3 linked regions of the Canis lupus familiaris genome follow. The protein of the gene in region 3 interacts with the protein of the main gene of each other region in a pairwise test. Links are inferred from orthologs where the notes say so. Each region holds a gene or a part of one and is shown on either strand. Other genes may lie near its edges.

Region 1 (3,744 bases), on a different chromosome or scaffold from region 3:
GTTTCTTCTCTCTTACTCCACAGAAGCAACACTTAGGCATCCAGTGGGTGCTCCTTAATTATTATAGCTTTTAATGGTTAAAGCTCAGTGCAACATCTTATCAGCAAATCTATAAAATCAGAAACAGGTCATTCCAAAAAAAAAAAAAAAATCTATATCGGCAGCCTATTCCTTTTTTAAAAAAAAATTTTTTTTTTAAATTTTTATTTATTTATGATAGTCACACAGAGAGAAAGAGAGAGAGGCAGAGACACAGGCAGAGGGAGAAGCAGGCTCCACGCACCAGGAGCCCGATGTGGGATTCGATCCCGGGTCTCCAGGATCGCGCCCTGGGCCAAAGGCAGGCGCCAAACCGCTGCGCCACCCAGGGATCCCGGCAGCCTATTCCTTTTAAACATAAGTTCAAGAACCAAAATGGACAGCAAAATACTTTTTATTTAAAAAAAAATTCCAAGCAATTTCTTCAGTTCAAATTTGACATAATTTAAATAAAAGAAACGTGAAAAAATACTAAAGACAAATTAAAGCAAGTAATCAAATAAAATAATGCATTTACTTAGAAAAGAGAATGCTGCTTGCTTTAAATTATTAAACTTACAAATGTACAAAAGGTATACCTAAAATTAAACTAGGACAGAATTAAAGTATCGCTCAAAAATTTCCTTAGTAATTTACATCCTAGCTTCATTCTTCTTTAGAATATAATCAAATACATTTCTGGCCTATTAATGGTCCACCCTGGGGATAAACTATAAAATAAAAACTCAAAAAATGCGTCCTCGGGGATCCCTGGGTGGCGCAGCGGTTTGGCACCTGCCTTTGGCCCAGGGCGTGATCCTGGAGACCCGGGATCGAATCCCACGTCGGGCTCCCGCTGCATGGAGCCTGCTTCTACCTCTGCCTATGTCTCTGCCTCTCTCTCTCTCTGTGACTATCATAAATAAATAAAAATTAAAAAAAAAAAATGCGTCCTCGCTAAAGCCAATGCATCATCTTCTTAAAATTTCTGTTAGTTGGGATGCCTGAGTGGCTCAGCGCTTGAGCGCCTGCCTTTGGCTGAGGGTGTGATCCCGGGTTCCCGGGTTTGAGTCCCACATTAGGCTCCTTGCATGGAGCCTGCTTCTCCCTCTGCCTGTGTCTCTGCCTCTCTCTTTCTGTGTCTCTCATGAATAAGTAAATAAAATCTTTAATAAAATAAAATAAAATGTGTTAGTTATAAAACAAAAGGTGTCTAGGTAATTCAAATTTAGCACCAAGGTATCCTACATAGTTCCGCCACTTCACTGTGAAAGGTTTTGTTCCTAAACGCTCAAGCATTTTCATTTGTCGATTATTCCAAAGGCTGCAGTCCAAGAGTTCTTAAACTGGAGCAGGGAGCCCAAGAACCTTGAACGGTGTGCAAAGTTGTGTGTACGTGCATTTTTACGGAGGGAGAACGCCACAGCTGCCCTGAGATTCTCAAAAAAAAAAACAAAACAAAACAAAAAAGGCTTAAAAACAACAAAAACGTCTCGATTAGGATAACCCAATAGATAATGTGACGAACGGCACAAAGCGGGCATTTTAACCAGGCAACCGCCGTTACACAGGTTTAAAACCCATCCCCTCATCCAACAACCCAGACCCTGGCACTAGCCTTCCGATCAGAATGCCTTCTGGAAAACAATTTGGTTCAGAATGGGGTGAAAGGAGTTCAATCCCGCTCCCCCCACCCCCTACCCGGCGGTCGATCCCCCGCGAACCAGCCCCTGCTGTTCTCGACCCTCCGCCGCGGTCCGAGGGGGGCTGTGCGCGCGGGGAGTGCGGGCGCTCGCGTACCTGGGCGCGGGCTCGATTAGGGTGGTGGTGTCCAGGTAGTGGATCTTGTAGAACTCCAGCAGGGCCGGCAAGTGGTCAAACTCCTGGTCCCCGATCTTAAAACGGCGGTTGGGCAGCGAGTTGATGATGTAGTGGGAGACCCGCGAGTTCTCGGACACCGACAGCACATAATCCCCAGGGCAGGTGGAGGAATCGCGAACTAGGAACATTCCGTGGCGCTGGCCCTGCAGCCGGGTCTGCGCCTCCTGGCGAGACACCGGCCCCATGTACCAGGCGGAGCGGTCTGAGGAGTCGAACCTGGCGGAGGACATGGTGTCTGGCCGGGGCTCTGCGGCGACTCGGGGCGGCGGCTGCTCTCGGCTGTTCTGGACGCCTTCGCCCGACAGACGGCTCTGCGGCCAAGGAAGGGCCTCTTGGCACACCTCGAGGCGCGCTTAGAGGGCCGAGCCAGCACCTTCGTCTCGGCTCCGGGCCCGCAGCATCCTCTGCCGCCGCCCGCCTGCTCCGGGGCCGCCTCACGGACGGAGCCGGCCCGGGGAATGCAGGGCACAGCCCGAGGTCGGGGCGGGCGAAGCTGAGCCGCAGCGGAGGCCGCCCCGGGGTTCTGGGGCTGCCCGGCGTACCGGGGGTGCCTCCAGCCACTCCTGGCCCGGAACGCGCGACTCCGCGCCCCCCACGGCTCTGCACTGATACCCGCCGCCACGCGAAGCACCGGACTCCCAGGAGCGTCGCGCCTCCGGGGCGGTTTCGCCCAGCCCGTTCCCAAGAGCCACAGCAACAAAATGGCGGACGCGGGACAAGCGGCCGGCCACCTCCCCCTCCGCTCAGCGCGCTCGGTCTGCGCACGCGCGAGCTCTGGCTCTCAGCTGCCGCCCAGGCCCGCCCCGTGACGTCGCGCGGCGCGGCCAATCAGGAGCGCGGTCGTGACGGTCGGGGCGTGCGCCGCGCTCCGCCGCTCCCGCGTTCCGGGAGGAGGCGGAGGCGGCCGGGGAAGCGGGGGAGGCGAGGAGGTAGAGGCGGCGGAGGAGGAGGTGGCGGTAACGGCCACTCCCTTCCTGGGCTGCGGTGCGCCGCCGGGGGCGCTGCCGCTGCGGGCTCCCCCCCAGCTCCGGCTGGAAAACAGCTGGAGTCGAGAGGGAGCGGCGTTTCGAAAACCTGCTCCGCGAACAAAGCAGAACGTGCATGCAGAACCTCTGGCCGTGGAGGCGTGGCACTGAGGTGACCTGGCTGGCCCAGGGGCCCCGGGGGACCCGCGCTGAGGGAGACCCGCGGGCGGACACGCCTCGGTGGGTCGAGGTGGCTCTGGAAGGACGCGACCGCGGGGGCTGACGTGACCAAAGCCGAGGTGGCCTGATAGGCTCAGGGACCCAGAGTGGCCGGGAAACTCGACAGCCGCAAAAAGGGGTTGCGAAGGTCGGAGCGACAGGATTGAGTGGCCCGAGGAAGTCCACCTTTTGGTGCAATCTGGCCATCATTAGCGTTTAACTGATGAAATGCGGACTCCCCCGGGTGTGGCCCGAAGATCTCGTCCGGCTCCAGTTCTGCAGCTTCTCGAGCTAATCTCCTCGCATGCCCGCCCCCTGGCTGACCTGCTTCGGCCGGTCGTGGTGGCCTGTTTCTCCACCCTGCCTCCCCTCCCCGCGATGAAATTTTAAGAGATCAGGGATCTTGTCTGTCTTGCTCGCTTCTGGGCCTAGCACAAGGTCTGGACCTGACCTGATGCTCAAATATTTGTTGAATGAATTGACTTTTGAAAAAAAAAAAAAAATCCTCAGGCTATTGGTGCCCGATTATTGGTAGCACCACCCCTAGAACTGGACAAACGAGAAAGCCTGTAAAGAAAGGGAGACGCCGGCTATAACAAACCTATACAGATCCCTTTGTCAGTGGAGTTTCATTTCGGCGCTTGCAGCCCTCAGGTTGAAC
Region 2 (3,744 bases), on a different chromosome or scaffold from region 3:
CAGAGCGGCGTGGTGGGGTGCAGTAGTTATAGGAGCCCGAAGAACACGCAGATGGCAGGCAGCGGCTGTGGAAGGGCTCAGACCTTCGTGGTGGGGAACAGCTGCGGTAGAGAGGCTGCAGCGGGCCAGGCTGGAGGCACCTGCTGGTGCTCTGGGAGCGGCTGCGCTGAGAGGAGAAGCTCCCATAAGAGCCTCGGGCCTGGCACTGGGGTGCACAAGTGCTGAATGAAGCCCGGGACTGACGCTGGGGGGCGCAGTTGCTGTAGGCGGTCCTGGATTGGAACTGGGGGGTGCAATTGTTGTAGGAAGCTGGGGACTGACCCTGCAGGGCGTATCTGCCATAAGAACCTTGATACTGACGCTGGGTGGAGAATTTCCCCTGAGTTTGGGAAACTGAGGGACAAGCCACATAAGTCTGGACAGGCTGAGGAGCTGGACAGGGTACAAAGTTCTGGACTGGGTATTCCACAAAACAAGTTTCTGTATAGCAAACTGGAGCACATTCTACATAACACGTCTGAACAGGGCATGGACCTTCACACTGCACATAGGAAACCTCAGGCTGGCATAGGGCCTGGCTTTGAACAGAGGAAATTTGAGACTGGCATGGAGCCTGGCACTTCACCTGGGTGGTCTTAGATGGGCATGGAGCCTGGCACTTCACCTGGGCGGTCTTAGATGGGCATGGGGCCTGGCACTTCACCTGGGTGGTCTTAGACTGGCTCGAAGCCTGGCACTTCACCTGGGAAACTTGAACTGGGCATGGTGCAGGACACTCTATAATTTGCATCTCACGAGGGGCTTGGACTACCACCTGGCTGTTGGCACTGGGCGACTTGGAGGAGTAGAAAGAGGAACCCTTCACACAGCACTGGGGAAGCGGCAGGCAACATTGAATCTGCTGCTGGTCACACATGGTTCTGATGAAGGCAGGTGAGTGAGACCTGACAGTAGAAAGATCAGTGTTAGGAGGATGAGTTGTTGGGGGAGAAGGATCTAGGACCAAGGGAAAGACACTGCTTCTTCCCTATACTTTCCTCCCCAACTATCAACCTTTACCCAAAAACACTTACTGAGTTAGAGGGATCCATTATTAGTCACCACTGCCACTGAGACCTGTCCTGATCTAAGGGAGCTTCAAAGGCACAGCCACAGTTGTAGGCATCCAGAGTCTCCCCTTGGAGGGTGGGCACAGAGTGCAACTGCACCCCCCTGCGTCAGTCCCGGGCTTCATTCAGCACAGAGTGTCTAACACAGAGTGTGTTGAAGACCTTAGGATTCCTTGTCCTAAGTGGCAGGAGAGCACTCTACAGGAGGTAGAGATAACACTGCTTCGGAGGCTGTAGCCCAAAGTGGGGTCTCCACACCCACAGGAGCTTGGATATCCTCACATACATACACTGGTGACACATACAAGTGCAAACATGTAAAAACGAGCAGGTGGGAGTAAGTGTTCAGGTTCCATCTGTGCCCGAAGCACCCACTGAAAAGTAAAGGATCCAGTCCATTATTGCACAGCTCAAACCCAATATAAATGTTTGTTTCTCCACATTCAATCTTTTTAGGTGAATTTCTTTAAACAACCCTCATAGACATATGCAAAACACACACAGACAAAACATGCCAGCCTTGGAAAGGCTCAGAACCAACATGGCAATCTGCCCAGGCAGGTTGCTGTTCTAAATTATCTGACATGGGACAACCTGCTACTTCAGAAATGTTTTCTCCTTAGCTCCTCGTAAAGGCAAGGAATGAGTGCCTAGATGGGGTAACCCAGAAAGTGCAAGATTCCTAAATCACAAGACTGACTGACGTTCAGCCACACATAAAACCCTGCACAGCAGAAGCATACAAACGTGATTTGGGGGATACAAGCATACCCCAACATGACACTTATCCAGGGAGAAACAGAAGCAATCTCCATTCCTCTGCCCTCCCTAAATTCATCTGTTTGTATACAGGCAGCCCTGTGACTGGCATAGCAGGGTGGCTGATTTAACAATTAATTCACCCAACAAAACACTTCTCAATAGGCTCCAGAAATACTGAAAATGCTTCTAATGAAAAGCAAAGCCTTCCATTCTCCATTTATAGAGAATATCTACAAACACATGCCCTTAGGGAAAGTAACCCCCTGACACACAACTCTGCTCATAAGGTGTAAATGCATCTTTTCCAGGAAAAGAGATCCTGATGTGGGAAAATGCTACTTGAGGAGGAGACCACTATTATCAAAGGCAAATACACTGACTTCAGGCCCTCAGTTCTTTGCACAAACTCCACAAATATTCTTATTATATCTCCTAAAAGTCTACCAGACATTTCTCCTCAGGTTTATGTATCACTCTTCCTTCAAGCACTTCCTGGAAGGTGCTTGAAGCTCCCCCACCTCCCACCATGCCTTACCTTGTGAATCTGGGCATCCCCTGAGATGCATCTCTAGCCCAATCCCGGGACCCAACCCCTAGACTCACCCTCCTCACAGCAAGCAGACATTCAGGCTGAAGGATCTGGGCAGAGGGCTGTCTTTATATAAAGAGCTCTGGGCCTGGCTTAATCCATGAGACAGCTTATTGGCATCTGCCTGGCTCATCACCCAGGTTAGCATTCCAGCAGCAGTCCCCTCCCTGTATGCCTGACCTTGCAGTCACCTACAGAATGTGGGAGTATCTCACTTCAATGTCAAAGCTTCTTGACTCTGAAGGAGCAGATTCTTGTTTTCTTCCTCCTTCTTCCCCTATAAGTCTCTCCCCCATCCCTAGGAGATCTAGTGGTGGGGATGATAAGGGGTGGCAAAGCTATCTTTTGTCCTGAAAGATGATTCCAGGCCCCTGACTTCCTCCTTATCTCAGATTTTCATCAGATAAATATAAAAGAGGAAAAGTTCCCCAACTTGAAGCAATTAAAGTCACCTCAAAGATAGAGGCATCTCTACAGAACGAAGAGAACATGGTCAGAGCTGAAGTTAACATTCTAGGTTGGCTACTTACAGCTGAGTGACCTTTAAAACCAACAGGAGTATTAATTTACTCAACTGAAAATAAAGATAATTAAGCCTTCTTTCCAGAGTTGTTGTGAGGGTTAAGGCAATTATTTTATGTAAAAGAATCCAGCCAAGAATGATACTCAAAATATCCAACATCTACTCAGAATAAATGTTAACCATAAGCAACCAGGCACAGCATTTCCTCCTACTCCTAAGCTGAGCAACCTGATGGCTTTATAGCCGGTGCTCAGCTAATGCTACGGTATAGGGTTTAAAGACAGCATAGTGTAGGACAGACACACTAACTTGGCATCCCAAGATACAGTCAGGATGAGACATCTTTTTATCTTTTGCCTACATAATTTTTGCTTATATAATTTAGTAAGTGATCATTAACAATTTAGAAATAGAGAAATTATACTTAAGATTCTAGACATCCAGCTTTTCTTCTAAATCAAAAGATGTGGCAAACGTGAGCCTAATTTCCATAAACCTGAAAATTAATAATTCCTCTCTTAGGGCATATACTTTTATGTTCTACATATACTTATATGTTCTACAATTCTCCACCATTCTATAATATATCTGTGATGCAATGCACAATATAAGTTTCTTTTTATTATTTTACTTAGGCTCTTGTTTTTCTTTGCTGAGATTAAAGGAAAGTGAAATAATCCTTCTACTTGGATCATTTCACTATTTTATATAACCTTCTAGCCTCTATAGGCATTTAAGATTCTGAGCAAGCTTGTCAGCAC
Region 3 (3,744 bases):
GGGCAGGCAAAGCCCCAGAATCTAAAGCACGTTCCAGACCTGGCCGCCGCGCCCCCTCCCTTTGCCACTTCCACCCCATTTCCCCCAAACTTCTTAGGTTCAGGGAAGGGGCTTGATATCCTGCTCTGGGGCTCCAGGATAGTGCCTGGAGAGGTCCCACAGTGAAGTATACCCAGTGCAGCTCTAGGGGGCGGGGATCCCCAGGCCGGCCTGAATTCGGGCCGGGAGGTCGGCGGAGCCGGGGTGGACGCGGGGTGGAGCGGGGTGGACGCGGGGTCTGCTCTGATCCAGACTGTGCTGCTCGCGCACAGCCCCGCCGCTCCAGAGGCAGAGCCCCAGAGCGGCAGAGCCGGGAGGGCGCGGGCAGGGTCTGGCCCAGTCCTGGTCCCGTCCCGCTGCCCACACCTCCTCCCCGCCAGCGGGCACTCCTACCCTGCTGCTGGCCCGGCTGCTGTCCCTCCTCCCCAGGGCTCTGAGCAGCCTCTCCACGGGGCCGCTGGACTTCATGGTGTCCGGCGGGCTGGGGCGCCGACCGCGGGCCCGAACAATGCTGGGGCCCGGCCCGGGGCTTCCTGGAAGCGGCCTGGCGGAGGCAGCTGCTTCCCCTGGGTGGAGGGCAGGCTGTCTGGCTGGTGTGAGGAGAAGCCCGGCCCTGGAAGTGGAGGGGAGTGCAGGCGGGAAAGGGGCAGGTCGCTGCTCCAGGAAGTGGGGGGGGGAGGATGTGGGGGAGGCCAGGAGATCAGATTCCCAGGATCTACCCTGCTGGGAGTGTCTGTCCTGGATCTTTGGCCCCCGGTCCCCTTGCTCTGGAGCTGCTCCTTGCAGGGATCCACCCTGTCCAGGGATCTACAAGGATCCTGAGATCCAGCCCCCACCTTCCGTGGGGCGCGTGGGGGCAGGGTGAGGATTCAGGTCTCAGGGCAGGGCTCAAGGGCCAGTGGGGAACGCTGTGTCCCCGTCAGGCCAGCCTCCCAGCCTGGACTGTCGGGCTCTCAGGGGACCTCTGGTGGGGAGGAAGGGGGAGCTGGGAACACTGCCCCAGCCAGCCCAGCATCGGGAGTCCTCCTGAGGGGCAGCTTCCTGCCTCAGTTCCCCTGGTTGGGAAGTAGGCCTCCTCCCCCTCCCCCTCCCCCACTGGAAGGCCTAATTCGCCCCAAGATGAGCCTTCAGCTCCAGACCAAGGCCTTCTCCTGAGAGCACCCTGCTGCTCTGTTCCTGACAGTCCCCATGTCCTCCCCACACCCTGCCCCGCGCCCCCATTCCTTGGCCTCTTCCGGCCAGACCTCCCGGCCCCTCAGCCCCTCTTCCCAGGCTGCTGTGTCAGCCCCCCACCCAGGCCCTAGGGCTGGGCCCTGCCCCCTCCCCCCCGCCCCAGCCTGAGTACTACCTTCATGGCCCTCCTAGCTCTGCTCTCCTTGCTCAGCAGCTGTCCCAGGCCTAAGGACTGGACAGGAGGCCCCCTCCCAACACATGCTCCAACCCCCTCCGTGGGCCTCCTGCCTCCCTCCTGGGAACAGGGCCAACTTCCTGTCCCGGGAGTCAGGGAAGGAGGTGGATTGGGGCCTTGGAAGTGGGTGTGTGTGGGGGGAGTGATCTGCCAAAAATATATGGGGTTAAGGGCCACGGGGTCCTCAGGCCTAAGCCTTGGCCGGCAGCCCTTAGGCTGGCTGGAGCTGTCACTTGGAAGAATGTGCCAATGTGCCTCCCTCATTTGCATGGAATTTACTGAATGTACCAGAGCTCGGGCTTCTCCCACCAGGTCCTTAGGCTTCTCCTGCCTTCGTGCCCGAGGGCTGGTTTAATCCTGCCTCCTCTGGGACGAGCCCCCTTCAGAGTCCACTCAGGACACTATTTAGGGCCTGCCTGGCAGGGGTCTGGGCTGAGGCTTCGCCTTTGAAGCTCTAATTCCCCTTCCAGGTCAGGAAGTCTGTCCCCAGAGTACCTTGGCCCGGAGGTAGCTCTGTGGCCAGGCTTGGGTCCCTAGCGTGTAACTGGAGAGGGGCACTGGCTGTGCAAACCCACTCCCATCCCACCAACCCCGGCTGGGCCCCGGGACATTCCAGGGCCCCGGCCAGTGTGGGCAACTGGGCCCGGCCTGGTCTGGGTCACAGTGGAGCTGCAGGGAGGAGGAGCACTGTGGTGGTGGCTAGGTTGGGGGGGCCCCTGATTAGGAACCCCCTTCTCCCTACACCTGCCGCCCCCAGAGGGCCTGAGAAGTCCCCTCACCTGGTGGTTCCCTCTGGGGGGCTCCCTAACCCCTGGATCGGTGGCGGGGAAGCGGCTTGGGTCCCTCCCCACTGGCGGGGCGATGGGGATGGGAGAGCCAGGGTGGAGGGGGAGGGCGCTCAGGGCAGAGACCCCTGGGACCCTCACCCTCCTGCTGCCTGGAACATTCCGGAGCCGGCCAGTCTCTCCCCGGCCCGGCCCCCCTCTCACTCCCAAGCCTCGGGTTTGTTTGGAGAAACCCCTCCACCCACACTCCCCCTTCCTGGAAATAGCTGTGGTTGGAGGAGAGGCCGCGAGCCCGCCGCGGAGGAGGGGTGAGGCCCGGGGAGGGAGAGGGCGGGGAGGCGGCTGCGGCGCGCGGGGGCCCGGGTGGGCCGCGGGGCCGGGACGCGGGACGGGGGGACGGAGGACGCGGGGGCAGGGGGACGGGGAACGGGGGGGGCAGGGGGACGGGGGACGGGGGGCAGGGGGACGGGGGACCGCCGTGTGAGCGCGGGCCGCGCCCCGCCCCCTGCTCCCCTTCCCGGCTGCCCGCGGCCCTCGGTCCCCGTCCCCATCCCCGTCCTCATCCCCGTCCCCATCCCCGTCCCCATGTCCCCATCCCCGGCCCATGGCCCCCCGTCCCCATCCCCGTCCCCGTCCCCATCCCCGTCCCCATCCCCCCGTCCCCGCCTCCCGAGGGCCCCGGCCCCGCCCGGCCTCCGTGACGCCCGGGCCGCCGCCCTCCCGCCCGCGCGGCGCGGCCACTCACCTGCGGGGGGCGCCCGGGGGGGCGGGGGCGCGCCGGGGGGGCGGGGCAGCAGCAGGGGGAGCCCCCGGGCCAGCCCATCCCGCCCGGCCCGCGCCCCGCCGACGCCGCGCTCGCCCGCTCCCGCCCGGCCCGCGCCCCGCGCCGCCCTCGCGCCGCCCTCCCCTCCCTCCGTCGGGCTCCAATCCCCACGTTCCCCCGCTCCCCGCCCCTCCCCCCGCCCGCTCCCTCCCGGCTCCCCGCCTTCTCCCGGGGCTCGGGCCGCGGAGGGACGCGGGGACGGGAAGGCCGCCCGGCGGAGCGCGGGACACGGCGGCCGAGCCCGGAAGGCCGCGCACACGGTTCCGAGGGCCCCGGGTCCCCGCGCCCCAGGCAGACGAGGACGCCCCGGGCCGCCCCGGGGCCCAGGCCGCGACCCCGGGACCCCTGGGACCCCCGGCGGCCCAGCAGCCCTCGGCGCTTGGAGGGGGCGCCGGAGCCGGGGCTGGTGCTGGGGCTGGTGCTGGGGCTGGAGCTGGAGCTGGAGCAGGGGCTGGAGCAGGGGCTGGAGCTGGGGCTGCTGGAGCTGGAGCTAAATCTGGAGCTGGAGCTGGGGCTGGAGCAGGGGCTGGAGCTGGAGCCGGGGCTGGAGTTGGAGCTGCTGGAGCTGGAGCCTGCGCTTGGAGCTGGAGCTAAATCTGGAGCTGGAGCTGCAGCTGGAGCTGGCGTTTGGAGCTGGAGCTGGGACTGGAGCTGGAGCTGGAGCCAGGGCTGGAGCTGGAGCCGGGGCT

What was found.
Region 1: the proteins of TNS2 (region 3) and CRKL interact in a two-hybrid assay, tested with the Homo sapiens proteins (2 studies listed by BioGRID and IntAct). The link is inferred for Canis lupus familiaris from reciprocal best matches to the Homo sapiens genes TNS2 and CRKL.
Region 2: the proteins of TNS2 (region 3) and keratinocyte proline-rich protein interact in binary tests that used the Homo sapiens proteins (3 or more experiments, as listed by UniProt). The two-hybrid records come from large-scale screens. The link is inferred for Canis lupus familiaris from reciprocal best matches to the Homo sapiens genes TNS2 and KPRP.

The regions. Positions count from the first base shown.
Region 1 is NC_049247.1:30,747,173-30,750,916, forward strand, and holds the start of CRKL (crk-like protein), read right to left. Parts: upstream 2,663-3,744; 5' UTR 2,130-2,662; coding exon 1,819-2,129; intron 1-1,818. UniProt on the Homo sapiens protein: May mediate the transduction of intracellular signals.
Region 2 is NC_049238.1:62,243,178-62,246,921, reverse strand, and holds the start of keratinocyte proline-rich protein, read right to left. Parts: upstream 2,432-3,744; 5' UTR 2,424-2,431; coding exon 2,407-2,423; intron 945-2,406; coding exon 1-944.
Region 3 is NC_049248.1:44,535,694-44,539,437, reverse strand, and holds the start of TNS2 (tensin-2), read right to left. Parts: upstream 2,471-3,744; 5' UTR 1,718-2,470; coding exon 1,388-1,717; intron 1,305-1,387; exon of another isoform or gene 508-1,304; coding exon of another isoform or gene 433-507; intron 1-432. UniProt on the Homo sapiens protein: Tyrosine-protein phosphatase which regulates cell motility, proliferation and muscle-response to insulin. Phosphatase activity is mediated by binding to phosphatidylinositol-3,4,5-triphosphate (PtdIns(3,4,5)P3) via the SH2 domain.